4 linked regions of the Caenorhabditis elegans genome follow. The protein of the gene in region 2 interacts with the protein of the main gene of each other region in a pairwise test. Each region holds a gene or a part of one and is shown on either strand. Other genes may lie near its edges.

Region 1 (7,154 bases), on a different chromosome or scaffold from region 2:
GTATGTCGAACTTTCATACTTTTTCGATAAAAATATATTTAGGTAATTGATTTTTAAAATATTGGGAAACTGAAAAATCCGTGAAAATTCCACGCCAACGAAATTTTAAAACTACAGTACTCTTTGAAGGCGCACACCTTTTTGCATTAAAAATTGTCGTGTCGAGACCAAATTCCATTTTATGACACAATAATGGCCAAAATTTCCGCGCCAGAATGATATTAAAAGTACTTTCGGTTTAGAATTTTTTTTCGGAATTTTTTCAGAAACTTGGAGTACGGAAAACTTCAAAATGATACATACTTTGAAGTATAAATTCGCGAAATTGCTGAAATTTATATTGTGGTGGTAGGACCCATCAAGAAAATAGATTATTATCCAGAAGCGAAATTTGGCGATTTTTGTCCCAAAAATACGGTACCCGGTTTTGACACGACAAATTCTTAGAGTACTGTAAGTTTAAAGTTTTTCGATAAAATTTTTTTAATTTATTACGGGAACAATAAATCATGAGAATGCGTACTTGGTGCATTTTATTTGACGCGCGATATCTCTTAGCGAAAACTACAGTAAGAGCTTAAATATCTATTGTTATTTGAGTTCTTACTGTAGTTTTCGCTAAGAGATGTCGCGCGTCAAATAAAATGCACCAAGTACGCATTCTCATGATTTATTGTTCCCGTAATATCAAAAATTCAATGATTACACTTCAATTTTAACAGATCGTGAAAAGAAAAAATTCCCGCAATTTTTGTAGATCAAACCGTAATGGGACAGCCTGATACCACGCGATTTTCATAGTTTTTCGTTAAAAAAATATTTAATTTATATTTAATTGTTTAAAATTCAATGAAAATTCCGGCGCAATGAAAAATTTGAAACTACAGTACTCTTTAAAGGCACACACATTTGTTTGCAAATTTAACAAAAATTTTTCATCTCGAGACCAGGGCGTAATATGCCTTTCATCAACATCACATGATTTCTCAATTATTATTTGAAAAAAATCGAAAAAAAAACAACAAACCCAGTCAGCGGTTGAGTATACGTTTTTCCATTGCGTTCCTCGACGAAATAAATTCCTTTCGAATCTCCACGTGGCACTAGGAATCCCAATAAAATCGAAAATTCGAAGAGCATGTAATCTGAGAAGAAGAAGAGCACAAACTAGTAGGGACTCTCCGGCACTGACTCTTTGAATTTGCTGAAAGGATTTGGCGATGGTGGGGGAGAATCAGAGAAAAATGATGAGAGAAGGGCAGTACACACACACACACACACACACACACACACACACACATGTGTCTTTCCGATTTCCCCAGACAATTTCTGTCCAGGCCTGCAAGCAGGCGCTCGAAACATTTTTCTTTTTTTTTTTGAAAAAGAAGAAGATGGAAAAATTGAAACAGCAAAACAAAGGAAATGTGGTCGCTGTGAGTGGAGAAATAGAGAACATGGCGGAAAAAAACCAATTTGTCATAAGTATGGTTAATCATTGAAGGCGGCATGTATTACGGGATCACAAAATTCTGAAAATGCGTATTGCACAACATATTTGACGCGCAAAATATCTCGAAGCGAAAAAGAAAACTACAGTAATTCTAATGACTACTGTAGCGCTTCTGTCGATTTACGGTCTCTAAAAATAGTTAAATAAATTCAATTCGATTTTATTTAATTCAATTCGAAAATCGAGCCCGTAAATCGACACAAGCGCTACAGTAGTCATTAGAATTACTGTAGTTTTCGCTACGAGATATTTTGCGCGTCAAATATGTTACACAATACGCATTCTAGAATATTCTCAGAAATTTTTGTTCCTGTAATAGTACCAGGTTCATTCTGTTTGAATTCCTTCCGAAATGAAAATTCCTCGACCAATCAGCGACTTCGAACTCCACGCACTCTTCTGATTGGTAAAAAAATGGGGGCGGAGCAAATCGCTGATTGGTCTTCCAGTTCTCGTTTTGTTAGAAATTAAATTCAAATCGGGAGGTCATTCAAAATTAAAAAAAAACAATCATTTAAATTTCAGGCTATTTTGGATATTTTACAGCAAAATCTCAACTCTTGATATTACCCAGACGCGAAATTTCGCGATTTTCGCGATTTTTTTTCGTTATGTGCGCCTTTAAGGATTACTGTGATTTCGAACTCTCGTTGTTGCGTAATTCTCACTGATGTTCAATAGTTTTTCAAAACGAATTTAATTACTTATCGAAAAAAAACTCAATTTTGACTAAAAAAAACACTAAAATTTTGGAAAATCGGCAAAAAATCCGATACAACAAAAGTTTGAAATTACAGTACTTCTTAAAGGCGCACACATTTTTGCATTTAACAAAACTTGTCGTGTCGAAACAGAACTTTTTGAATAGAGGTTGCGCCTTTAAGGGATTACGGTAATTTTTGACATTCACTTTGAATTTTTATTTTTCTTTCTTTTCTTCTTTCGATTCATATAAAAAAGATTTTCGAAAATTTTTTTTCCCAATTTAAAAAATTTTATTTTTAAAATCTATCATTTTTGCTCTCCATTCAGTATTTTCCCCGCGAAATTTCCCATTGCTTCCAATAAATAAGACAATTAGCCATTCTGTGCGGGGACATTGCAAAAACGCGCGCGCGCATTGCATGTAGGCGGAGCTAACGATTTTTCATTTTTCTTTGCGCGAGCGACAATCAACATTTCTTTGTTTTTTGAGCTCCATTCTGTTTCTTTTTCAGGCATTTTTAAGAATAAACAATTTAAAATATTTATAAATTGAATTTATCACATTTTCCTTTTATTTGTAAAGAAAAATGCTCCTAAAACGTCAAATGCCGAAACTTGTATTTATTATTATCATTGAAAGCGTTTATTGTACTTACGTGTTCTATTTTCTAGCAATTTTTCAATTATTAAGTATTTTAAAGCAAACATTTTTCAGATGTCTCGAGACTCGGGTCGAACCAACAATCGATCTCATCAGGGAAGACGATCGCCTGTTCGGCAAACGGGAAGATCGCCAGTTCGACGACAAGGGAAATCACCAATTCGACGACATGGAAGATCACCCGCACGACGACAAGAAATTTCTCCCATTCGAAAAACAAGAAGATCACCTGCCAATCAACTTTCAAATTATGAAATCGCCCAACAGAAAGTAAGAGAACTACAAGAAGAACTACATCAGAAAAATATTGGTTTAGTAGAGGAAGCGAAGGTATTAACATTTCTCATTCGAACATTTCTTATTTTAAAACAAATTACAGCTCCTTGAACAAAATTATGGATTAACCGTCGATTTGGCTCAAGGAAGCTATTCTTCGTCGCGTGGTTCAGGTGGCGCTTCGGTAACACCACGATCTAGGGATCGATATGAGACGTAAGTTTAATTCGTAGATAGAGCAATTTTTAACAATATATATTTTTCAGCTCGTCACCAATTCGCATCGATTCCACGGAGCCATTTCGAGGCCCTGAATATATCAATGGAGAGTTTTCTCAAATAAACTATGCACCACACGAACCGTTCCCGCAGAACGTGGATCCATACAACGCTTATGCTGGTCTACCGGATTATAATTCCTACGATCGTCATCAACCACGAATGTACCACGAAGATGTGGAAGTTCGCGTCGATGAAATGCCCATGTGGCCGATGAACGATTCTCCTCCACCTGGAATGCAACAACAATCTCCTGAGCGCCAACGCGCTTTTTCGCCAACACCGGCTTGGCGTCATCAAGAGAACGTGGTCGTGGATCCGATGCCAGTGTTTCCAATGCATGGAGAAGACGAAGAGGATCCTGCAAAACCACCTCAGGACAGTCGCGACGAGAAAGTTCGTATTCAAATGATGATGATTGCTCGACAAGCTGAATTGGCTGAAAAAGAACGTCAGAAGGCTCGGTTTGTAGCACCGGAAGAACCTCAGCGCACAAGATTAAGATCCGATACGAGCGCAGCAGATCGAGAAAGAGAGAATCAGCGAAAAGCTCGTCATGAAATCGGTAAAATTCGTGTTCAAGTTTTGGATGATATGCGGAAAAAGGAGAAGGAGAAAGATATCAAGAAAAGAGAGATGGAACGAAAAAAAAGACACGCGTTGCAGGAGAAAAAAGAAGAAGCTGAAGCTGCAAAAAGGAGAGAAGCTCGGAAAAAGCATGAGGATTATTCGAAACAGGCAGAATGTGACGAATTCTTCCTGAAATATTTGAATCCAGCGATCGGAAAGATTGAATACGAAGTTACCAAGATTGAAGGAAAAAGTACTGTCATCGACCCAATTTTTTTTGTATTTTGTAGTTAACTGTAGCATAAGTAGCATAATTTCTCATTTATCCCAGTTTTAATTTCCCGTGAAATCTCTGTAAGTAGTCACTGATTTCCAATCAATTTAGGTCCCACCGAATATGTAGCAAAATGTTATGCAGTGAATATTCCTAAAGAGTTGCTTTATGGATCGAAATTCGATGAAATAAAAGGAGAATGCTACAAAGGAGCATTCGTCAACTACGTGGACAAGCTTGTATCGCTTGGAGTCATCGATGAGCACTCACGGAAGTCCATGAAACGTGTTGAGGTATTGGACAATCGGACACGCTTCACACTTTAACATTTCTATGTTTCAGAAGTTATCAAGATTCTTGGCCGAACTTGTTGAGCCATTGTGTAATGATATTGCCATTTTTGGAACTCAAATTAGCGGTAAGAACTAACCGATTTTCAGATTATTATTTCCTTGTATTGTAATACCTTTCTGATTCGATTTTTCCTAACACCTGAGCTCTAATAACGTTTAGTGTCCGATGCTCGTGATATGAGAAATGGGTTCGACACATTCGCCAAAGAGAAATGTGCCGAGTTTTGGAATACTTCGAGCAACAAGAATAAGCTGTCGGATTTCATGCGACGTCACGACAGGAAGCGGACTCGTTCTAGATCTCGCGAAACGAGATCTCGTGATCATAAAAAATCGGAAAATGGAAACAGTCGTCGTCGTGAGACCCATCGTCTTCCAGCTGCTCCATCGCCTACCAATGAAGCGTCGCTTAAACAGCTATTTGCCGCTACCGCAGGAAACGGTGTTCCCGTTGAAAATGATGCTTCAGTTGGAAATCCGATGATGTCTTTCAATCCATGCACAGCTCCAACAACGCTTCCGTCACTGATGTCAGTTCCGGTTCCACCACCACCACCACTACCACCACAACCTGCGATGATGAACAACTACATGCAGCCGTCGCCGAATTTCTACCCTCCACAGCAACAGTTCCCGTCACCAGTTATGCAAGGATTCGGTCAGTACTCGCAGCCAATGATTCATCAGCAAATGCCGCCGCCGCCTCAAGGATTCCAGCAGCAGCAGCCGTATCAGCAACAACCAATGGGTTCGGGATATGAGTACAATAATTCCCGTCGGTATCCCACTGATTCTGATTTAATGGATGAGATTTTCACATAATAATTATTATTGTAGATGATGTTCAATTTGCTAATAATATCTACTTAATGTATTAATATCCGTGTTTCGGGTAGCCTCCTCATGATATATCGCCCCCACCCCAAATATTCTGTTTCTGTGCACTACAACCGAATTTCGATCACCCCACTTTCATCATGACCGTTTTTTAATATCCAGAAATGTTAAATTTTTATAATTTCCCCTGTTTAATCATTTTCCGGCTCGATTTTTATTAGAAACTTGGATCTTTAGTTTCTTAGATTTTTGTATTAATAAATCCAAGGTCACTGTGTAATTTGTTTTCCTTGTGATTTATGTGCTAAATAATTGGTCGTTGGACAGTGTCAGGTCGAAATTGGAAAGAAATCAACGAGAAATCCTGGAATTGGAAAACAGAAAATCGTCTACAATGCTTCTGGCTGCCAATTTTTTCAGGGATGACGGCGATGATATGGAATTTGGGAATTTGCGTCGACGTTGATGGTTCAACTCGAGCAATTTATATTACTGAAGGAGTTGTTGAAATTTAGAACATTTTAAATCCATAATCGATTTTGAGGAGAGCTTTGAGAATTTTGGCCAATGAAAGGGAATAGTGGAAGAGGAACAGAGGACACATGAAAATTAGCACAATGATATTCACAATAATAATATTGTGCTCGAAGTTATGCAGATTCTCCACTTTTCGAAAGTTTTTCAGTTTTTCTAATCCAATTTCGAGTGCAATTTTATTATTTGCCAACTTCTACGACTTCCAAGGAAGCTGCATTTATGGGTCTCGCAGCGCAAAAAGATTTTTTTGAAAATTGCATTTTGTGCATATTCTGAATTTATGTTAAAAATCAACAAAACTAGTCCGCTTAAATGCATCTCATGAGGAAGTCGTAGAAGTTTGCATTAAAATATACACACGATGGGAAATTTGAATTTTTAAAAATACACAAGACACTATACAGGGGATGATGAACAATGAATGGTTATGATAAGAGGAAGTGGAGTATTTTTTCAGGTACTTTTCAACCGAATTGGAGACCTCCGACAAATGAGAGATGGAAAACTGGAATTTAGGAATTTTATTGGCTACTGGATTTACGGAACTGAAAAATTTTTATTTAGATATTTAGAATTTAAAGTTCTAATCATTTTCGACATCTAATGAATAAATCTGTAAGATTCGGCATCTTTAGCGAGCTCCTTGACTGAGATCGTGACGAGACCCAACCAGAAAACCTTCGTGTGCCTTTAAACTGGTGTTTCAAAATTTGGTAAAATTAGTATATTAAAAATTGCCTGAAAATGTGAAGCACATCAGCCGAGATATCGTACTGTCGTAAAAACGTAAAACTTCAATTTAAAGGCACACACTTACTTTCTCGGTGGGTCCCGCCACGATTTCCGCCATTTAGATTTTTTTATTGTTTCAAATTAACTCATTTGATACTCTGAAAAAGGAAAGTTCTTGAAATTTCACATGAAACATTTAGCACTTATTATGGGAATACAAAATTTTGAGAAAGAGCATTGCAAAACGTATTTGACGCGCAAAATATCTCGTAGCGAAAACTACAGTAATTCTTTAAACTACTACTGTAGCGCTTGTGTTGATTTACGGCACGATTTTCGAAGTGGTTTACAATAAATTTATTTATTGATGGAATATTAAAATAAAGCAAATAATACGAAGAAACGAAGAAAACTGGAATA
Region 2 (6,774 bases):
TTTCAGAACGACGATTTTTTCCAGTTCAAAGTGCTCCTCTGCCGCTAAATATTTTGTAGGAGTATATTTAGAAAGTAAATTTCTAAATGACATAGATTTTATTCAGGAGTACGGGATTACGTTGAAATACTTCCCTTGTAAGTCCAAAAATTTCAGGAAAGTGTAGATTTTTGCAAAACAGGTGGCAGTTCATAGAGTTCCTAAGAATTTGAAGACACTTGATATAAATGCCCCTCTGAATTCAAGAAAAAGCAAAATCTACACACAAAACCTCTAGAAATCCGAAATTTCGACGGCTAAAAGGTGATAAATCACTATAAATCGATACGTGAGGAGAAAGAAGCTGAAGTTGTGTGAACGAATGGACGGAATGGTGGTCGTGATGAGTGAGAGTGATGTGTGTAGTAAGAATACTCTCTCTCTCTCTCTCTCTTTCTCCCGGGGACGGGAAGGATAAAGCTTGCACACGGGAGGAGAGAGAGAAGGTGGCAGCTGCTACTGGCCAATGGCCAACTCTTTCTCGATGTCCCATATCACAAAGATAGAGAGAACAGGAGAGAGATATTCAATGTCTTAATAATGTGACCAACCAACTCTCGAGGATTCTAGGAGCTATGGAGAGAAAGTACTAAGGGAGGAGTAGAAGGGCTTTTGAGATCAAGGAAATATTCTAGATACACACACGTGGTGCCAGGCTGTCTTATTACAATTTGATCTACGAAAAATGCGGGAATATTTTTCCAAAAAAATTGTGACGTCAGCACGCTCTTAACCATGCAAAATCAGATAATTAGGTCAAATGGCGATATGATCTTCTAGATACAATGAAAAGTTTCAACTAAAGTCCTTTACAGTTTTAGTGATCTACTAGGACAGATACTAGGTAAGTCTTAAAATCAACTAGGTTATTACATGATAAATTAGGTTATAAGGTACTTATTTACAATTTCAGAGGTCCCGTGGTGTCACAATGTCCCATTTCGGTTTGATCTCCGAGAATTGCGGGATTTTAGACGCAGGCTTCTAAACTGGATTCGCATGGTTAAGAGTGTGCTGAGGACAGCTTGGCACCCTAGTTTAGGAAATTATAATAAATTTTTAATTAAGCTCAGAATTTAGTAGATAATTTTTATGAAAATCCGAAATTTAACCGAGTTAGGGGAGTTTTTTTTAGAAACTCAACACATAATTCAAGTAAGGTATAAATAACAAAATTTTCGACTCACTATCAGAAAATAGTTCTTCTATGTACATATATTTGTAACTGTGCTAAATAGATAGGTTGACAGGTAATTGACATTCGACCTGTATCAAGTAACGAGTTTACCTGGAAATTTCTATACAGATTGCCTAAACGGAATGTATACCCCTATACCTATACACAATTGTCCCTTGCATACATGGACGATAAATCATTTATACCCGAGTAGGAGAAAAAAAATGGGAAACGGGTTTTGTTTATGGTCAGGGAGGAATTAGACAATGTTTAAAATATAAACAAAAAGAAACATACTCTGTGTAAGGAGACGGAGAGAAGTTGCCACGTGCATCCACTCGGGTTGTACATCTGGAATATAGGTGATTAGGTGATTTTTAGGTTTTAGAAAAAGATTTTTGAAATGAATATCGTAGGTACAGAGACGTTAGTATACTGGTCTGAAAGAGCAAGAAATTTCCTATTTTTTGGCTAGGACACTTTCTTGCTACTTAATTATAAACAATCAAAAATAGGTGATTTTTAGGTTTTAGAAAAACTGCACAGAAATTGCCGTAATTTTAGATTTAAAACAGTTAGTTTTGTTAATTATGTTGCAACTAAACCAAAGTATAGAAAAAGCATTTGCTAATTGTAAGCTTAACTTTTTAAACTGGTCAAAAGTTTTGGACCGCAGCTACTACATAGAAACCGTACCATTATTATCAATTTCCTAAAAAATCCAATTTTTTATATTAAGAAAACGACTACTTATTTTATAACGGTGAAACTAAAACCACAAACAGTATTTGCCTATACATACAAATTTTTAAATTGTTATTCCTGAAACTTATAAAATAATATGAAAATTCACTATAAGATGCAGAAAAACATTTTTGGCAACTGTTGTTCATGAATGTAAATTACCGCTAAACTTTGCCGAATCAAAAATGGTGAAAGACTAATTTTTCATAACTTCTTGGAAAATAATAAATCAACTATATAGATATAGCATTTGTTAGATACCAATTTAAAAAGTTTCTCTTTTTTGATCTACCCCAAATTATGAGTAATTTAAAACCATATATGTAATGCTATCAATTTTTCCTATAGGTGATAAATTACAGTACCCATACAGCCTAAGAATTCTAAAATCTATTGTAATTTTTCTCATAACTAGGCTACCAGTAGACATCAAAAGTCAAATAAGCGACACACGAGTTGAATAGAAACAAAAAGAGTCTTCTCTCTCTCTCTCTCTTCTAAGAAGGGCATGATATCAATGTCTGGTTAAAACTGGGAAAAGGGGGTCCCTCGGGAAGTTGTGTGGAAGAAGAAAGAAGAAGAAGAAGAGGCTCTTTTTCTTTTTCATACACACACATTTCTCATTTACACTATGTTGAAAAACGAGAAAAAAGTGGATGGGAGGAGAATGAGAAAAGTGTCTCTTTTATTTTTGACCTGACTCTCATATTATTAGACGTTTTGTTTCAGGGGTAGTAAACGCGTTTTGAATGGTTTTCTATCTTTTGGCATTAATTTTTCGCGGTTTTCAAAGAAAGTGTGAGCATGTTCAGTTTTTGCTAGTGGAACAAGCATCGCGACAAAAATGGACAAAATCGTTCAACTATGTAAAAACCTTAATTTAAAGTTGCTTTTAACCCTATACGTTATACCGTTAAAACATACATCTTAAAGGTGGAGTAGTGCCAGTGGGGAAGTTGTTAAAAACCAAAAGTCCCAAAATGATCTAATATCATAATAAAACTTTTCAAAAAATTTTTGAAAATTTTTTATTTATTGTCAAAAAGTGGTGACAATTACTGAGTTTTTGCCACTCATAATTTTGGAAGTCGACCAAAAAAAAATTGTTTTTCTACATTTTTAATTCTGTAATCTTGTTTTAATTATTCGTATTAAAACATTGTAGGGGTCGAAACATGCGGCATACCTTTGGACTTTTTTTCAAAAGCTCTGATTTTTCAAAGTTTTGGCAATATGCCAAAACTTAGGCCGGAAATTATGAAAAATCTAAAATTGTGTTATATTATGATATTTGGTCGTTTTGGATCATAATAAGTGTACTTAGACAATATCCCCACCTTTAAAACGTTATACCTTATTACGAAAAATATACTATGTATAGCCTTAACTTAACGTTACGTTTTAACTTTTTTTAAAAATATTACACGATACTTTATAACCTTTATTTTAAAAACTAACGTTATAATTCGTTACACATGTAAAAACGTTGTTTTAATATGATCGTTCAATTAAAATTTTAACGTTTTTTTAATATATGATACTATAACCTTAACCTTTTAATCTTGTTGATAACGTATAATTTATAACATTTGAAATCAGGCTAAATCTATATTATAGTGTGTAATAAAACGTTGTAACGTATAACAAAGGACATAGCGTTACAGTTAGTTATAGCTTTGATTTTGAAAACGTATCGAAATATTGTAGTGTGAAAGCTCAAATAAATTCTTAAAATTGTACGTGATGACGGTATAACAGCTACCTTATTTAAATACATTTATGACGTCACAACAGTATTAAAATACATGCTTACAGCGGTAACGTTCATTTTCTAAACTTTTTAATTTTCCGACACTACTTGAAAAACATCATTATATTGCTATATCCAACAAAAAAATTGTTAGAATTTGGTATAAAGCTTTAATTTTTTTTTTAGAAACAAACAAAAATACTAACCTCTTCCTCATCCTGATCGACAGGCTCATGTTCCTCCTCAATACAAGAAGACGTACTTGACATGGAGGTCTTGTACCATGATGGGTCCTCTGACATTCTGGAATATAAAAGTTGTTATATACAAAAAGAAAATAATCAAAAATCACAGGGTAAATAGAGGCTAATCGTATATACAAATAGAAGCGGAAAAAGCAATGAAGTTCAGTTTGTTTCTTATGCTTTTTGAAGACTGCGGTTTTTTTTTTAAATTTTGTTATAAAAATTAATATTTTAACTCAAAGAACAATTGAAAACGTTTTAAAGTTCAATTTCAACAGAAATAATAAGAATAACCAGAAAATTCTAATTTATAAGGACAAGTTTTCAATTTTTTAAAGTAACATCGAAAAAAACTGTATAGAAGTAGTAATTAGTATGAAAATTGAAACTTCTTATTGAGAAAAAGTTATAATAGGTCAACTTTTAAATTTAATAATAGTAAAAAAGCCCCGTTTAAAGCGGTTACATTATGAACAAATTAAATTTTAACAAACTCAAATAAAACAAGTTCTATTTAAGTAGTTATCACAGTACTTAAACAATTATAAATTCCAAAGAAATATTGATTTTATAGGAAAATCCTGAACTTTTCCCATACAAAACCCTGCAAAATCCAATAAACAACCTTGAAAAGTTGTTAGTTTAAACGGGGAAAATGTCGTCAAATGGTGTGTTATTCCATTCAATACATACGCATATATCGGGTACGCAGACATTGAATTTGACGACATATTGGTAGGCAGAAGGGTAGGAGAATGGGGAAAAGGGGTCATGTAAAGGAAATTGAATTTGGGATGCGTGGAATTTGGAGTAATTTTGGGGTTTTCTGGGGGGATGGGGAATTGAATTTTTGAATAGTATCGGAGTAATTAGAGATATGAGAGAAGAAAAATAGTAATTGTTTGGAAAATGTGTGTAGTCTTAAATTCAAATTCCATGCAATTGAGTTAGTCAAAAAAAGGAAGTGTATGAATGTTATCATACGTTATAATACATATATGTACATAAATTATATATACCGTACATTCCCTATTAGTATGGCCCCCCGTCAATCGACTTTGTCGGCTCATATTTCAACGGTTTAAAAATATTTTTGATACCTTCAAAAACCAAAGCATAACGATAGATTTGAAAAAAATTGTGTCGTTTGAATTTTGAATTTTTGAAATATGATCAAAGACAACCGAGATATAAACGTACTAAAAAGGGAATATATGGTAAAATTCCATGGTGTGTTATAGAATTCGGTATATATATAATTATATAGGTATATAGATATATAGAATTAAGTACCTATGTATATCGGTTCTAGTTAGCTATTTCTAATTAATAATTATTACAGTCTTGAACGAAAGTTTCAAAACTGTGAGGTATTAGACTTTGTCACTTTTATGCTTTTGTCAAACCAAAGTCAGATGGTTCAATAACCTATTTTCCCAAGACAGTGTATCATATAAGCTTGAAATACAGTCTAAAACATCGATTTCAGAACAAAAAATGGACAAGTCTTGTTTGGTGATTGGCACAAAACACTTCAGCTCAAAAACTCATAAACTGGAAAAAAGTTGATTAGTTTTTTTTTGCAGAATGTAATTTTTGAGCTTGCCGTTGTAGTTTAGAGGCTTATACACATTATTGGGGGATACGAAGCTAACCATTCAGTTTTTAGACATGGTGCATTGATCAACCAACTAAATCAGTTAATTAACTAGAAAAAGACATGTACGTTTTCTGAATAGACACATACATTGAACTACATATGCTTCAAATACGCCTAGCTGAGGAAACAACATGAACCTTTAAACTACAGTTCGTAGTACTTTTTTAAACCTGACCAATCAATCATTGAACATGGTGCATTGGTATATCAACTTTTCAAAAATGCATAACTAGACTAGTATCTATGTGTAATAGAAACGTAGATACTAGTCTATTAGTCTAAAAAATTTCAATTGCTAAGACTTGAGGATTATCAAAAGTTTAGTAGTGGTGTTCCAAAATTAGACAATTCTAGTTTAAAGGTACATACATATTCCTTTACAGTTAGAGTTATTTTACAGTTATTTTGTTTTTAGTTACAGTTAGAGTTTACAGTTTTCTTAATGCTTGCCTACATATCAATTTTTCTATATGTAATAGAAACATAGAAAAATTGATATGTTAGGCAAGCATTAAAAAACTGTAAACTCTAACTGTAACTAAAAATAAAATAACTGTAAAATAACTCTAACTGTAAAGGAATATGTATGTACCTTTAAACTAGAATTGTCTAATTTTGGAACACCACTACTAAACTTTTGATAATCATCAAGTCTTAGCAATTGAAATTTTTTTGAGAACATGGTGCATTGGTCTATCAACTGTAGAAGTCAATTAACTAGTATAATAGAAAAATCAATTTAGGTATGCTTAAAACAGGCCTAGCTTAGGAAACAACCTGCGCCTTTAAACTACAAACGGTCTAGTTTTGGAACTATTTGAATTGTATTCTGTTAGGCCGCCCAGCAAAAGGTGCGAAACTAGCCAAGTGCTCATAGGAGTTGATACACTAACCTAGTCTAGTTTTCTTGGCACTCTGCCAAACACATGTCATCCCCCCATCGGTTTGCACACAACGCGCGAGTCCATCCCCTCGCTGCTGCTGTTAGCCATTTGTCAAAATTTGATCGAACCGAATCGCCAAAAAAAGTGAATCGGTATTGGAAATCGGAGAAAGAGAGAGGGGAACGAGAAAATCGAGCAAAACAAACAGAGTCTTTATTTGAACATCACCTGCCCCCCCTCCACTGCTCAACTGTTTTTTTTCTAATTTCCACAGG
Region 3 (9,281 bases), on a different chromosome or scaffold from region 2:
CATTTTAACGGAATCAGTTTATGAATCATCCAGTGCTGCTTCAACTTGTACAGTCATCGACAGAAACGACGCGAGATTTTCTGCGTTAAATGATGACTCCAATATTCTCATCTCCGAATCCTGGCTTGATTCGACAAATCAGCATTCAGAAACAACTATGGATACTCCTGAGATCATAACTGAGTCTTTCTACGAATCCACTCATGATCAAGCTTCTAGTCGTGCATCAACTGTGGACAGACTAGCTTCAGATGTTGATAAAATTAGCATTGGTCGTCCTGATTATTCACCTCCACCAAGACGTCGAATATTCGGATACAGTACTCCCGGTGATAGAGTAAGACCGAGAAACAGTTATGGCTCGAGTTCCAGTGGATCATTAAACGGACGCCCAAAACGTCGTGCTCCATATGGATTCAGGCAGATCAGGAATATCACGCCGCATAATGTGCTACTGAGAGATATTATCTATAATAATATGTAAGTTCAAAATCGTTATAAATTTTCGTGTCTTGATTATTCATATTTTCAGAAACAATCGAAAAATGTTTGTTGAACAGAATAAAAATGCCATTCTCAAATGCTGGAATCGTTTACCGCTGGCGCAAGTGACACGAACGAAGAAAATCTTCTGTACAGTAATCGCCGTCGAAAGCATCAAATTTCCACCATCATTTGATGATACTTGCATCAAAGGACTCGTACGTTTCGCTGTTGTATATGATGATATGAACGTCAAGAACACGTCTGTCGTTGTTCCGATCGGGTATATATTAATGTAAAGTTTTCTCAAAGTTAATACTAAAAATTTTAGAGGAAATTTCAATAATCTGCCGAAATCGTTCCAGTTAGGGGATGCGTATAAAGTTTTCCACTTTTCATCCTACAAAGATGTAAGTTTGCTTTTCTAACTTGCAATGGACCTTCTGATTCACTGATGATAGTTGAATTTCTGATTAATACGAAGCTTTTTGTCCTAATTGTTGCGTTTTTCAGCTCATTTGTCGGATCGGAGGATTTTCGCACGGCCTCAATGGAGAATTGAGTCGCGTGGCTCCAGTGAATTGTATTTCCAACCCCGAAACAGTGAATGGTCGGTACGGACAAAGATATTTGAGATGTACTGTAAATGCAGCGAGACCAGCGATTTCAGAAATCGAAAGTGATGTTTTCGAATTGTGGACAGTCCATGGTCTTCCTGGATTCATCATTGTGGAAAAAGTCCCACTCTTGGTCAGTTTATTTTCTTTTTTGATGTTGACTTTTTTATCATTCCAGATGAACCATTTGAATAAAGAACCAATTAATCCAGATGTGCACCATCAACATATGTATACTTGCATTATTGAGCCCCTGGCTGGAGTGAGTTTACGTTTAGCTATTTCCATAGAAACACTGCAAAAATGAGATTTCATATTTCACAAACCTCTTTTTTCGGAATTTATCTCTGCCGTATCTCTCTATATGTTCTGGGTTTATATCATTTACTTTTTGTTTCAGGGCCCTGTGGAAGCTTCAATTCTCAAAGATGTTAAAGAAGGTGAAGACATTTGCATATTCTGGAGACTTGTCGTCGAGTTTTCCGATACTGTTCCACTTCCCAGATTAAAGGAAAAAACTGACAAGGTTGTGCCACAGATAAGAACAGAACCGGTGCAAAGTGGCACTTTTTCTGTGGACGACTACGGATGTTGGGAAACTTTACGAATCAATTCGATTTTGGCTCAAGAGAAGCTTGACAGAATGCGGGCCGTTGGCGATCCAAGAGTTAAGATGATTGACGGACCAGATTTGAGACCAGAAATCGAGGTTCGAAAGGTCGATGTGAATACGAGACGAGAGAAAATGTTCGCAGCGTTTGATGCACTTCTGGAGAAGTTGCCACAACTTCACAGCGAAGGAATTCTCGGATACGTCCTGGAGGATGATTTACGAGTAAAGATTAAAAAATTGACGCCAATGAACGATAATAATCATAAATTTACATTCACATTCAGGTGAGTTCGAAATAAAACTTTTAGATGTATTTATCATATTATCCTGATTCTTTCAGAAACGGCTCGCTGGAAATCGGTGTGAATTACCTCACGGATATGCTCACTAGAGGAAAAATATACAAAGTGATGAATGAGATGAAAAAACATGTTCCTCTGCTTAAGGTGTTGTCAGATTGCATCGGTCTCAATACAACTTATATCAAAAAAACTGATGCAGTGAAGATGATGGTTAGTTCTAAATTTCAGTACTGTTCACGCATAATTATCTATTTATTTTCAGTTGCATTACATGTACCGAAACGAGCTACACACGTATTTGTGAGAAATCGACATAATTTTGATAGTTTCTTTTTTTATCCGCTTTCAATTGCCAGAAAACCCTTTATTTTTTCTTTTTTTTTCACTTTCTTCTTCAATAAAACCCATTTTGTTCTTAATTTGTCTTGTTCGACATTTACCAAATTGGAAATTGGGAGTTATTTAAAACCATGTAGTTTTTCAGTCTCAGAATTAATTTCCTCCAATTAAACTAATTTTAGTCACCATTTCCGTCGTTGTAGGCCTGAAATGTTTATCTCGGTTACTGTAGTTTTTCAAGGTGCATGCATTCCCACTCGAAGGTCTCACAGCGACCCGCCCGTGCAACCTTTTGTTTTTGATTCCAACGAACTCTTATCCTACATTTATTTCGTTGAATTTCGTTCTTTTTTGTTAAGAAAATAGCGAAATTGAGATATATTTTACTTGAAAATTATTCCAGACGATTTTTGACTTCTTTGAAACATTTTTAATTCAGATTTACGAGTTTCTGTGACTTGCCGATGATTATCACCACAAAACAATGCATTTTTATAAATACGGTGTTTTGATTAATCAGCTCAGCGATTCGTTTGAGGTATTTTCTTTAATTATTTTTAATTAGTTCGTAAAATCATTATTTTCAGTGGAGAGTCGCATTCTTGGATGGATCTGTCAGTGATCATTGTTGCATCACCGTTCCTTCGGAAAAGTTTAACTTTCCGCCGACTCCAGGAGCAACTGTTAAAGCCAAATTTGAACACGCGAACAGCTTTTTGCCATCGGTATCATATTAATTATGAGTAACTTTCTCAATTTAAAATGTTCAGCTTGTCGCACAATGTGGCAGTTTTGAATGGTTTCGTGATGTAACGGTGGTGAATTCCAAAGTTGTGGTATGAAAATCGAATTATTTTACCATTTTACAATCAACTTGTTTCAGATCTTCGCTATTGTGCACTTCTCAAATGAATGTCTAGAAAGAGATCCATTTAAAATAAATGGAATGGATTACAGCATTATCGAGAACGAGAATACGGACTTTCAAAAGATTGTACTTCCAACTCGTGTGCTTCAAACCTCAATCACAAGTAGATCAAATTTGCAAAACACCGACACTCCTTTTATTTATCGAATCGGCGTATGCTGGGAGCCAATAAGTTTTGAAAACGGCGTGACTGTCAATTGGAGATATTATGCTGATTTTCCAATTACTCCCATTTTCGAGCTCTACTACAGAGAAACCGTACGTTGAGCTAAGAGCCTTAAAGCAAAATATACAACCGATTTTTCAGACTTTGCCTTATATCGCCGAGTCAATGGTATATGGAGTTTTGGAAGGAGTCGTTATCGCTGAAAATGATCACGGAGCACTTTTTTGGACACCGAAAATGGGATGCGCCATTTTACCAAGCACGTCTCTTGACACTCCAATGCCTTCCCTCGGAAGTGTTCATGTGATTCTCGTAAAGTGAGTAATTGGTAAGTATGTTAATATCATAAAATCATTTTCTTCAGACGATGTATCCCCGAAAATTCGTTTGGTTTCTCTTGCTCATACGAGTTACTCTCCAGTTTTCGTTCAACGGAATGGCCGAATCTGAAAGTCATCACTGATCAGATCACCAGAAAAGTATACGTGAGTTACCCAGCATTCGTTTCGTCAAACAATTGAAATATTTCAGATTGAAGCGAATGCAAGCTGCCGCAGTATGATGGAGAATCAAGACTTTCCAAGTATGAATGTTCCACATATCGGGAAAGTGTTCAGAGGTTTACAACAGTACCGTGATAAACTTTCTGCCGGTCATCTCTACGATTTTCGAATGGAATTTCAGAAAGAAGAAGGCTCCTTCGTGCCAACGATTGTGGATCTATGCCTGGTACATACTTTGAAAAAATAATATAAAGGACTCCAAGATAAATGAAAGCAACTAAATCTTGATACTGCTCCTTGTTGTGTGATTTTTAATTGCTTTAATTTCAGGAAGAGGACGAGATGGTTGATTGTCGAGTCGTCTACATTTCCAATGAAACGAGCACTTATTTTGCAGTTCTGGATCCGTCAAGTAACTCGTTTGATCGCTTCAAACAGAGCATCGATTACATTGCAATCCCATTCCGAGTATTGTTTTGTGCTAATGGTGTACATGTGAAGAATGAGGAATTGTTACTGAATTCGTACAAGGTCAGAGTTAGGTAAGGTAAAAACTGAGATATCCATTATTAATAATTGAATTTCCAGAGTTCCGAGAAACCGTCACGACGTTGTGAATGCCATTCACGTTGAACACGTTATTCAAAGTCCAAAAGATCCAGCATATTTTATAACGAATGGCTCCGTATGGGTATGGAATATTATTCAACTTTTAATAACAACATTTTTCTTTTCAGCTTCGAACTACGGTTAAATTTCAAAACGCCTCCAGATACGAGCTTCTCTGTCCTCTCCTCGAGCAGAAGATTATCGATGTGAATGGTGTCACTGCAGCGATGTCTCTGACACAAGAATTCACGGTCCACGCTCAATTGTTAGTAATTTTTATTTGAATTATCTGTGAGATAATTATTTTTCTTTCAGCGTTTTGATGGAGAGAAACGTTCCTGTTTTTGTTGTTCGGCAACTGGCTTCAACTGTTCGTGAGCATCCGAGAACGACGAATTACCCATCCAGAAGTCTCAATTTGTCTTACGAAGTTTCCGGAGCTTTGGCAAGAACCAATCCAAACGGTCAATTATCAGCTGCTGATAATAACATTGTCTTAATTAACGATTCCATCAGTTTGGATCACAATCTGCCCGACACCGGAGAATATCCAACAATTCTGAACGAGTCATCATTCGAAAGACAGCTCTTGTTCGACAATCAAAGTATCGCGGATAGTGCTTCAACTTCCGGAGATTTCATTTTAACGGAATCAGTTTATGAATCATCCAGTGCTGCTTCAACTTGTACAGTCATCGACAGAAACGACGCGAGATTTTCTGCGTTAAATGATGACTCCAATATTCTCATCTCCGAATCCTGGCTTGATTCGACAAATCAGCATTCAGAAACAACTATGGATACTCCTGAGATCATAACTGAGTCTTTCTACGAATCCACTCATGATCAAGCTTCTAGTCGTGCATCAACTGTGGACAGACTAGCTTCAGATGTTGATAAAATTAGCATTGGTCGTCCTGATTATTCACCTCCACCAAGACGTCGAATATTCGGATACAGTACTCCCGGTGATAGAGTAAGACCGAGAAACAGTTATGGCTCGAGTTCCAGTGGATCATTAAACGGACGCCCAAAACGTCGTGCTCCATATGGATTCAGGCAGATCAGGAATATCACGCCGCATAATGTGCTACTGAGAGATATTATCTATAATAATATGTAAGTTCAAAATCGTTATAAATTTTCGTGTCTTGATTATTCATATTTTCAGAAACAATCGAAAAATGTTTGTTGAACAGAATAAAAATGCCATTCTCAAATGCTGGAATCGTTTACCGCTGGCGCAAGTGACACGAACAACGAAACTTTCAGTTACAGTAATCGCCGTCGAAAGCATTAAATTTCCACCATCGTTTGATGAGACTTGCATCAAAGGACTCGTACGTTTCGTTGCTCTTGGTGTTGGTGTTGATATTAACCTCAGAAACATGTCTATCGTCGTTCCGATCGGGTATTTTCAACCTTAAATGTGCCAAACTAATGCCAAAGAATTTCAGAGGAAAGTTCAATAATTTGCCAAAGTCGTTCCAGTTGGGAGAAACGTACAGAGTTTATCATTTTTCATCCAAAGTTGATGTAAGTTTGCTTCCTTGACTGACTAACTTACTTAGTCACTAGTAGACTAATCATTTCGAATGTTTTCATAAAATTTTAAATCGAAAGAAGTTTTTTTATTTTATATTGTTTTCCCGTGTTTCAGCGCATTTGTCGGCTCGGCGGATTCTCTTTTGGTCTGAAAGGAGGAATGCGAAACGAGGAACCACCTGATCGGAATAATTGGTTTTCCGACCCCCAAACTGTAAATGGTCGCGACGGACAAAGTTATTTGCGATGCACTGTAAATGCAGAAAGACCAGCGAATGCAGAAATCGAGAGTGACTTTTTTGAATTGTGGTCTACCACAGCTCTTCCTGGTTTCATTATTGTGGAAAAAGTACCACAATTGGTGAGTTTTTTTATTGTTATGAAGTTTTTGTTTCATTTAAATTACATTTTAGATGAAACATTTGAACGAAGAACTACTTGATCCAGATGTGCATTCTCGGTTTACCTATTCTTGTGTTATTGAGCCGCTGGCTGGAGTGAGTTTTATTTTTTTTCTTTTTCGCGAACATTTACATTTTCCTTCAGGGTCCAGTGGAAGCATCAATTCTTAAGGATTTGAAGTACGATGAGGAGTTTTGCATCTTCTGGAGACTTGTCGTAGAGTTCTCCGATACTGTTCCATTGCCCAGATTGATTATAAAATCTAAAATCTATGTGCCACCGCCACCTGTCGTCCCGGTTTATGTTACCCCATTCACTGTAAACGACTTTGGATGCTGGGAAACACATCGTATCAATTCGATTCTGCATCAGGCGAGAATTGACAGACTTCGTGCTGCAGGCCATATGAGAGTCAAAATGCTTGATGGACCAGATATGAAACCAGAAATCGAAATCCGAAAAGTCGATGTGAATACGAGACGAGAGAAAATGTTCACAGCGTTTGATGCACTTCTGGAGAAGTTGCCACAACTTCACAGCGAAGGAATTCTCGAATACGTCCTGGAGGATGATTTGCGAGAAAAGATCGAATATTTGTTGCCAATGACCGATGATAATCATAAATTCCAGTTCAGAGCAAGGTAATAACGAAATATCGTTTATCAAATTGTTCATGATTTTTTTTCCAGAAACGACTCGCTTACAATTGGTCTGAACTACCTCACGGATATGCTGACCAAAGGGAAAGTATATAAGATGTTGTACGAGAAACAAGAATATGTTCCTCTGCTTAAGGTGTTGTCAGATTGCATCGGTCTCAATACAACTTATATCAAAAAAACTGATGCAGTGACCATGATGGTTAGTTTGTAAATTTAAGTACTATTCACACACAATTATCTATTTTCAGCTGCAATTCATGTACCGAAACGAGCTACACACGTATATGTGAGAGATCGACATAATTTTCATACACGTTCTCTATTTTTATCCGCTCCCAATTTTCAAAAAATTTGGTGTATTATTTTGTTCCAATTATAATAAAATTATCTACGCTTAAACTGTTTTATTTCTTACTTGACATTCCCTTTAATTTCAAAGTTCAATAATTTAAACTTTCACGTCCTTAGGCCTAACACTTCTTCTTGTATAGTTTTAATTTATTTCTTGATTAGAATGGATTTTCCTTTCGAATATGTGGAACGAGCGATCACTTATCCAAGTTTTGATAGGAAGACAGTTGTAAGTTTATTGATTTTCTCATTTTAAGAGAGAATACTGAAAATGTTTCAGTGTAAAGCAGCTCTAAATAAAAGAAAAAAGAAAACGGATTTAAAAGGTCCAAAATGTTTGGAATCTGAGGAAGATGAGTTGGATGGTGATTTGCCTGAAATAGTTATTGATGAAAAGGAAAAAGCTTTGCTGAAAGAAATTCAAAAATTCGAATTGGAAGTTAAAAAAGGAACAACAAATAAATATTCATCATCATCAGAGTTTTCTTCTTCAAATTCGGATGCTTGTGATTCAGATGGTGAAACTTCGGATACTGATGCTGTTGAAGCTATGTTCAAAAATGAAAATGATGCTACAGATATTGCCTGGAAACGATTGAAGTGGGTTTTTATCGACACTGAGAACCGAGCCCGTCCGTCGGGGTATAGCTCAGTGGTAGAGCGCTCCCTTAGCATGGGAGAGGGCTGGGGTTCAATTCCCCATACCTCCAGAATCTTTTTATTCTTTTTTTGTAGCTGTAAATACCAATTTACAGAATAATGCGCCAATGTTGTTGTTCGGGGTCGGATTGTTTTTCGGACAAGGATCTCGATGCAGTATCAGCGTCGTCGTCTTCCCATCTTATTTCCGAAGAGGATGGCGAGGTCGGAGAGAAGAAGGAATCTGAACAGCCAACGGATATGGTAGAGCCATCATCTGCACCAACTACTGAAGAGACAGAGACGGAGAATGAAGAGGAAGATGATAAAGAGAAGACTGATAAAGAGAAATTAGACGCAGAGAAAGAGAAAGCATTGGCTGAAAAACGTCTTGAAAGAGAGCAAAAACTTTATAAAGATTTGAAATCTTCGTCTGATGACACGTCATCATCTATTGATGATAAAATGAATTTTGACGATGAGATTGAATATTTGGAAGAGATGTTGGATAACATAGAGAAACAGAAAGACAGAAAAGGGTCGAAAGATGAAACTGAAGACACTGATGCTACGGGAGATGAAGAGGATAGCATGTTTGAAGGTATTAAAGGAATTTCAAAAGATGCGTAATAGTTATTATGAAAAAAGGTCTCAGAGCGCGCGAACATGCATTCATGAATTAAACTTTTGTGTATGTGCCTTTAAAGTTTCGGTAGGCAATTGATGTGATGAAACATTGTATTTTCAGTTTTTTCGACGGAAACATTGAAAAGTAAATATATGGGTTTTCTTTCTAAAATTCTTAATTTGTTTGGTTTTTTTTCTCAGTGAACAATCGAGATCTATACATGAATTTTCTACAGTACTCTTAAAGGCACGTATGCAAAATCCCTTTGGATATATGCAAGGAGCGCGCCGAGACATTTTGCATAAATACACATTCTTTGAGACTGATAGAAGAAAAAAAAAATTCCAAAATTAATTTTCCAGAAGTCAAGTCGGCGTCCAACAAGTCGGGAGCCGAAAAATCGTCAGCCGAGCAAACAAGCAATGCAGGCGTTGAGACATCTTTCAGTCAATCATACTCTTCAACAACTGATACATCATCTGCAATGCTTGATT
Region 4 (7,195 bases), about 13 Mb from region 2:
TACGTGGCTACGTTTCAGTCGTCGTTGGATGCCCGTATCAGGGAGCTGTACAGCCGGAAATGGTGGCCAGAGTCGCCGAGAAGCTTCTAGAATCTGGGTGTTATGAGGTCTCGCTGGGCGACACTATTGGCGTTGGAACAGTGAAAACTGTGTCGAAAATGCTGGATACGGTGCTGAAAAGTGTGCCAGGTAGCGGATTTTTTTAAATATTTTATATTAAAATTTCGATTTTTCGAGTGAAAAACTACAAAAAAAGTAGTTTCCCGCAGTTTTCCCGGCTTTTTTCGCATGAAAACCAATCGATTTCAGTCAAATAACTCACGAAACGATAAAAATCTCAATTTTCGTTGCGAGACCCACAATCTGTGGAGAAATTGACCGAATATCGTGATAAAAAAATTCAAAATTTTTTTCTAGACTATATGATTTTTTTTTGAAAATTGAAAAATCTCAGTTTTTACATAATTATATTTGAATTTTCGCCTATTGGATTTGACCGATGGAGCGCGCTTGCATTATTTTAATCAATTAATTTTATTTATTCTCATTATTCGACTGATTTTCTTCTTTTCTGTTTTTTTTTTGTTGGAAAATGAAAGAAATAAAAAAGACAGATGCAAAATTTTTGTTAAAAAATAACTGAAAATGCCTTAAACTGTAATTTTTTTTGAATTCTGACGACGACAAACCTGAAATTAGTATATTTCACAGTTTTACAAAATATATTTTTATTTATAAAACTGTAAAATATACTAATTTCAGGCTTGCCGTCGTCAGAATTCAAAAAAAATACAGTTTTAGGCATTTTCAGTTACTTTTTAACAAACATTTTGCATATGTCTTTTTTATTTCTTTCATTTTCCAACAAAAAAAAACAGAAGAAATGAAGAAATTCAGTCGAATAATGAGAATAAATAAAATTAATTAATTCCAATAATGCAAGCGCGCTCCATCGGTCAAATCCGATTGGCGGTAATTCAAATAGGAATTAGGGGAAAACTGAGATTTTTTCAATTATCAAAAAAAAATCTTATAAAATCTAGAAAAAATTTTTTGAATTTTTTTATCATGATATTCGGTCAATTTCCCCACAGATTGTGGGTCTCGCAGCGAAAATTGAGATTTTTATCGTTTTTTGAGTTATTTCAATGAAAAATCGATTGATTTTCAGGCGAAAAAAGTCGGGAAAACTGTGAAAAAAAATTATTTTCGAAAGAAAAAAAAATTTCAAAAAATCACCACCATTTCAGCCGAAAAACTCGCAGTTCATTTCCACGACACATACGGTCAAGCTCTCGCAAATGTGCTCATTTCCATCGAAAAAGGCATCCGAAGTGCGGATTCAAGTATCGCAGGGCTCGGTGGTTGCCCATATGCGAAAGGAGCAACTGGAAATCTTGCAACTGAAGATTTATTGTATTTTTTGAAAGGAAACGGTTTTGAAACTGGTGTCAATTTGGACAAAGTTGTCGAAACTGCAAAATGGTTTAATGAAGCCGCCGGATATGATAAATGGTCGAGAGTTGGAGCTGCAATGATGGCTAAAAAGAGCAAAAGCTGCTGCTGAAAATGTGTGCTGTAAAAAATTTAAAAAAATTTTTAAAAATTCGTGTAAAAATTACCCCGGTTGTTTAGGAAATAATAAAGAGATTAGAGACTTTTTTCAGATTTTTATTTTCTTGAGTTTTGCCGGTTTTCAGCCGATTTCTATCTTTTTTTTCTCATTTTTTGTGATTTTTTTTCGCTAGTTTTCCCCTCAATTTCTCGATTTTTTCACGATTTTTTGAAAATTTTCGGAAAATTGAATTGTTTGCAAAAAAAAAAATTCAAAAACCGCATTTTTCTCAGAATTTTTCTGGGATTTTGTACAAATTTTTGAATTATTTCTCAAAAAAAAGCAGGTTTTTACCGATTTTTTTGGTTTTTTCCCCAAAATTTTCCGATTTTTTCCGAGTTTTGCCGGTTTTCAGCCGAATTCTACTCTCGATTTTTTTACGATTTTTTGGAAATTTTCGGAAAATTATTTGAAAAAAAATCAAAAAACCGCATTTTTTTTTCTGAATTTTCTGGGATTTTGTACGAAATTTTGAAATTTTTCTCGAAAAAAGCAAGTTATTCCCCAAAATTTTCTGATTTTCCCCCAAAAATTTAGATTTTTCCCGAGTTTTCCCCAGTTCTCAGCTGATTTCTATATTTTTTTCTCAATTTTTGTGATTTTTTGTTGCTAGTTTTCCCTTCAATTCCTCGAGTTTTTCACGATTTTTTGGAGATTTTCGAAAAATTGTTTGAAAAAAATCAAGAAACCACATTTTTCTCTGGATTTTCTCGAAATTTGCACAAAATTTTTGAATTTTTTCGTAAAAAAAAACTGTTTTCCCCAAAAATTTCAGATTTGTTTTTGATTTTTTTCGAGATTTTCCCCTGATTTCAAAGTTTTTTCCTGAATTTTTCGAATATTTCCTGAAAAATCGGCTATTTCTAACTTTTTAAATAATTTTTTTTGAATTTCTGACTTTTTAAATCCTTTTTTTTTTGCCATTTTTTCCCATCTAAAATTCTAAATTATTCAAAATTTTACAGAATGTCAGAAGTAATCGACGAAAGTATCTTAAATACAGAAGCTTCAGATGATCCAATACCTCCATTAAATGATGATCAGATTGCTGAGCTTTTGGGTGAAGATGGAGAAATTATGGAGATAACTGAGCAGAAAGGTGAGATTTTTTGAGTAAAACCTTGAATTTTGCACTAAAAATTTGCAATTTTCGCTAAAAATTACCTTAAAACTCGAAAATTGGAATTTCTAGCTGAGAAAATGGCCAAAAATGTCGAAAAATGCCTCCGAAACCTGTGAAAAAAAAAACCACCAAAAAGGTTTCTAGGCCACCAAAAAGATTTCTAGGCCACCAAAAATGTTTCTAGGCCACCAAAAATGTTTCTAGGCCACCAAAAATGTTTCTAGGCCACCAAAAATGTTTCTAGGCCACCAAAAATGTTTCTAGGCCACCAAACAGGTTTCAATGCCACCAAAAATGTTTCTAGGCCACCAAAAATGTTTCTAGGCCCCCAAAAAATTTTTCTAGGCCACCAAAAAGGTTTCTAGGCCACCAAAAATGTTTCTAGGCCACCAAAAAGGTTTCTAGGCCACCAAACAGGTTTCAATGCCACCAAAAAGGTTTCTAGGCCACCAACCAGGTTTCAATGCCACCAAAAATGTTTCTAGGCCACCAAAAAGGTTTCTAGGCCACCAAAAATGTTTCTAGGCCACCAAAAATGTTTCTAGGCCACCAAAAAGGTTTCTAGGCCACCAAACAGGTTTCAATGCCACCAAAAATGTTTCTAGGCCACCAAACAGGTTTCAATGCCACCAAAAAGGTTTCTAGGCCACCAAAAAGGTTTCTAGGCCACCAAAAATGTTTCTAGGCCACCAAAAAGGTTTCTAGGCCACCAAACAGGTTTCAATGCCACCAAAAATGTTTCTAGGCCACCAAACAGGTTTCAATGCCACCAAAAATGTTTCTAGGCCACCAAACAGGTTTCAATGCCACCAAAAATGTTTCTAGGCCACCAAAAAGGTTTCTAGGCCACCAAAAATGTTTCTAGGCCACCAAAAATGTTTCTAGGCCACCAAAAAGGTTTCTAGGCCACCAAACAGGTTTCAATGCCACCAAAAATGTTTCTAGGCCACCAAACAGGTTTCAATGCCACCAAAAATGTTTCTAGGCCACCAAAAATGTTTCTAGGCCCCCAAAAAATTTTTCTAGGCCACCAAAAAGGTTTCTAGGCCACCAAAAATGTTTCTAGGCCACCAAAAAGGTTTCTAGGCCACCAAACAGGTTTCAATGCCACCAAAAAGGTTTCTAGGCCACCAACCAGGTTTCAATGCCACCAAAAATGTTTCTAGGCCACCAAAAAGGTTTCTAGGCCACCAAAAATGTTTCTAGGCCACCAAAAATGTTTCTAGGCCACCAAAAAGGTTTCTAGGCCACCAAAAAGGTTTCAAGGCCACCAAAAAGGTTTCAATGCCACCAAAAATGTTTCTAGGCCACCAAACAGGTTTCAATGCCACCAAAAAGGTTTCTAGGCCACCAAAAATGTTTCTAGACCACCAAAAAGGTTTCTAGGCCACCAAACAGGTTTCAATGCCACCAAAAAGGTTTCTAGGCCACCAAACAGGTTTCAATGCCACCAAAAATGTTTCTAGGCCACCAAAAAGGTTTCTAGGCCACCAAAAATGTTTCTAGGCCACCAAAAATGTTTCTAGGCCACCAAAAAGGTTTCTAGGCCACCAAACAGGTTTCAATGCCACCAAAAATGTTTCTAGGCCACCAAACAGGTTTCAATGCCCCCAAAAAATTTTTCTAGGCCACCAAAAAGGTTTCTAGGCCATCAAAAATGTTTCTAGACCACCAAAAAGGTTTCTAGGCCACCAAAAATGTTTCTAGACCACCAAAAAGGTTTCTAGGCCACCAAAAATGTTTCTAGGCCACCAAAAAGGTTTCTAGGCCACCAAAAATGTTTCTAGGCCACCAAAAAGGTTTCTAGGCCACCAAACAGGTTTCAATGCCACCAAAAAGGTTTCTAGGCCACCAACCAGGTTTCAATGCCACCAAAAATGTTTCTAGGCCACCAAAAAGGTTTCTAGGCCACCAAAAATGTTTCTAGGCCACCAAAAATGTTTCTAGGCCACCAAAAAGGTTTCTAGGCCACCAAAAAGGTTTCAAGGCCACCAAAAAGGTTTCAATGCCACCAAAAATGTTTCTAGGCCACCAAACAGGTTTCAATGCCACCAAAAAGGTTTCTAGGCCACCAAACAGGTTTCAATGCCACCAAAAAGGTTTCTAGACCACCAAAAAGGTTTCTAGGCCACCAAACAGGTTTCAATGCCACCAAAAAGGTTTCTAGGCCACCAAACAGGTTTCAATGCCACCAAAAATGTTTCTAGGCCACCAAAAAGGTTTCTAGGCCACCAAAAATGTTTCTAGGCCACCAAAAATGTTTCTAGGCCACCAAAAAGGTTTCTAGGCCACCAAACAGGTTTCAATGCCACCAAAAATGTTTCTAGGCCACCAAACAGGTTTCAATGCCCCCAAAAAATTTTTCTAGGCCACCAAAAAGGTTTCTAGGCCACCAAAAATGTTTCTAGACCACCAAAAAGGTTTCTAGGCCACCAAAAATGTTTCTAGACCACCAAAAAGGTTTCTAGGCCACCAAAAATGTTTCTAGGCCACCAAAAAGGTTTCTAGGCCACCAAACAGGTTTCAATGCCACCAAAAATGTTTCTAGGCCACCAAAAATGTTTCTAGGCCCCCAAAAAATTTTTCTAGGCCACCAAAAAGGTTTCAATGCCACCAAAAATGTTTCTAGGCCACCAAAAAGGTTTCTAGGCCACCAAAAATGTTTCTAGGCCACCAAAAATGTTTCTAGGCCACCAAAAAGGTTTCTAGGCCACCAAACAGGTTTCAATGCCACCAAAAATGTTTCTAGGCCACCAAACAGGTTTCAATGCCACCAAAAAGGTTTCTAGGCCACCAAAAATGTTTCTAGACCACCAAAAAGGTTTCTAGGCCACCAAACAGGTTTCAATGCCACCAAAAAGGTTTCTAGGCCACCAAACAGGTTTCAATGCCACCAAAAATGTTTCTAGGCCACCAAAAAGGTTTCTAGGCCACCAAAAATGTTTCTAGGCCACCAAAAATGTTTCTAGGCCACCAAAAAGGTTTCTAGGCCACCAAACAGGTTTCAATGCCACCAAAAATGTTTCTAGGCCACCAAACAGGTTTCAATGCCACCAAAAATGTTTCTAGGCCACCAAAAATGTTTCTAGGCCCCCAAAAAATTTTTCTAGGCCACCAAAAAGGTTTCTAGGCCACCAAAAATGTTTCTAGACCACCAAAAAGGTTTCTAGGCCACCAAAAATGTTTCTAGACCACCAAAAAGGTTTCTAGGCCACCAAAAATGTTTCTAGGCCACCAAAAAGGTTTCTAGGCCACCAAAAATGCTTCTAGGCCACCAAAAATGTTTCTACGCCACCAAAAGCCGCCTCAAGCCCGAAAAATTTGAATTTCCCGCTCAAAAAATCTAAAATTTTCCGATTTTCAGACGAATCAGATGATGTGGTGATGCTGGACGACGATGATGACGACACTCCGGAACCGATTCTCGTGATTGATATGGATGAGGATGAGGATGTTACTACAGATGGTCCTGAATCTCAGGAAGAGCTGGCTGCAGATGCTCCGGCTCCAGGAGCTCCAGAAGCTTCAGCTCCAGCTCAAGAAGCCTCAGAAGCTTCAGCTCCGGATCAAGAAGCTCCAGAAGTTCAGGATGTTCCGGATTCTTCGGGAGCTCCAGATGCTTCAGCTCAGGCTTCAGAGGCTTCTGATGCTTCAGCTCCAGAAGTTCCAGGATCTACAGAAGCTCAGGATGCTCAGGATGTTCCGGATTCTTTGGGAGCTTCAGATGCTTCAGCTCAAGAAATTCCAGAAGCTCCAGAAGCCCCAGAAGCTCCAGAAATCGCCGCTGAAATCGACGAAGAAGTGCTGCTCGCCGAGCAAAATGGAGTTTTGGACGAAGGATTTGATGAGACTGACGATATTATCATAGAAGAAGAAGCTGTAGAAGAAGCTGAAGCCGTGGAGCCACCAATTAACACTGAAAATCAGGAAAACGCGCTGGAAATGCTCGAAGAGCGCCTCAAGAAGAATGAAGAAAAGGAAATTGTGGAGAAAAGTGATGTGAAGCCAGAGGATGAAGATATTATACATATGGAGACGGATTCAGTTGAAAGTATGGGCTTTTTTAGCTGGAAAACAGGAAAAAAGAGCAAAAAATTGATACATTTCCAGCTTAACCAATCTTTTTTTGAGTTGTAAAGCCTGAAAATTGAGATTTTTGTACCAACTTTTATGATAAAGCTGAAAAAAAAATTAATTTTTTGACGAATTTTTAGCGGAAACCCTGAAAACATGTTTTGTCTGAAAAATACAGAAAATCGTCACTTTTTACAATAAATTCGAGATTTTTAGCTCAAAAATACAACATTATAGTGCAAAAATCTCAGAAAAAGCCAAAAATTTCATTCAAACATCTCAAAAAAAGCAGAAATTTTACTCAAAATATCTCAGAAAAAGCTAAAATTTTCCCAAAAAATCCCAGAAAAAGCAGAATTTTCATTCAAAATTCCCAGAAAAAG

Evidence for each region.
Region 1: the proteins of zoo-1 (region 2) and F39G3.3 interact in a two-hybrid assay, tested with the Caenorhabditis elegans proteins (one large-scale study listed by BioGRID).
Region 3: the proteins of zoo-1 (region 2) and C28A5.1 interact in a two-hybrid assay, tested with the Caenorhabditis elegans proteins (one large-scale study listed by BioGRID).
Region 4: the proteins of zoo-1 (region 2) and lin-65 interact in a two-hybrid assay, tested with the Caenorhabditis elegans proteins (one large-scale study listed by BioGRID).

Annotation. Positions count from the first base shown.
Region 1 is NC_003283.11:4,728,981-4,736,134, forward strand, and holds F39G3.3 (Histone H3-K79 methyltransferase), read left to right. Parts: upstream 1-2,930; coding exon 2,931-3,206; intron 3,207-3,255; coding exon 3,256-3,368; intron 3,369-3,418; coding exon 3,419-4,254; intron 4,255-4,386; coding exon 4,387-4,568; intron 4,569-4,617; coding exon 4,618-4,693; intron 4,694-4,788; coding exon 4,789-5,450; 3' UTR 5,451-5,743; downstream 5,744-7,154. Other genes in the region: tig-2 (TGF-beta family profile domain-containing protein), read right to left, coding at 1,028-1,140.
Region 2 is NC_003279.8:14,526,770-14,533,543, reverse strand, and holds the start of zoo-1 (Tight junction protein ZO-1), read right to left. Parts: upstream 4,016-6,774; 5' UTR 4,013-4,015; coding exon 3,917-4,012; intron 2,613-3,916; exon of another isoform or gene 2,564-2,612; intron 1,568-2,563; coding exon 1,514-1,567; intron 1-1,513.
Region 3 is NC_003281.10:4,427,902-4,437,182, reverse strand, and holds C28A5.1 (Ig-like domain-containing protein), read left to right. Parts: upstream 1-2,838; coding exon 2,839-2,892; intron 2,893-2,941; coding exon 2,942-3,079; intron 3,080-3,124; coding exon 3,125-3,190; intron 3,191-3,237; coding exon 3,238-3,540; intron 3,541-3,589; coding exon 3,590-3,765; intron 3,766-3,812; coding exon 3,813-3,933; intron 3,934-3,979; coding exon 3,980-4,177; intron 4,178-4,281; coding exon 4,282-4,493; intron 4,494-4,539; coding exon 4,540-4,642; intron 4,643-4,688; coding exon 4,689-4,825; intron 4,826-4,875; coding exon 4,876-5,679; intron 5,680-5,731; coding exon 5,732-5,971; intron 5,972-6,017; coding exon 6,018-6,096; intron 6,097-6,220; coding exon 6,221-6,466; intron 6,467-6,518; coding exon 6,519-6,602; intron 6,603-6,651; coding exon 6,652-7,148; intron 7,149-7,196; coding exon 7,197-7,368; intron 7,369-7,417; coding exon 7,418-7,459; 3' UTR 7,460-7,568; downstream 7,569-9,281. Other genes in the region: C28A5.2 (REJ domain-containing protein), read left to right, coding at 1-480, 533-766, 815-893, 997-1,233, 1,279-1,362, 1,501-1,997, 2,054-2,225, 2,278-2,319; C28A5.6 (Protein kinase domain-containing protein), read left to right, coding at 7,684-7,749, 7,801-8,120, 8,276-8,760, 9,150-9,281.
Region 4 is NC_003279.8:1,752,749-1,759,943, forward strand, and holds the start of lin-65 (uncharacterized protein), read left to right. Parts: upstream 1-2,580; 5' UTR 2,581-2,581; coding exon 2,582-2,714; intron 2,715-6,102; coding exon 6,103-6,789; intron 6,790-7,195. Other genes in the region: Y71G12B.10 (hydroxymethylglutaryl-CoA lyase), read left to right, coding at 1-189, 1,251-1,567.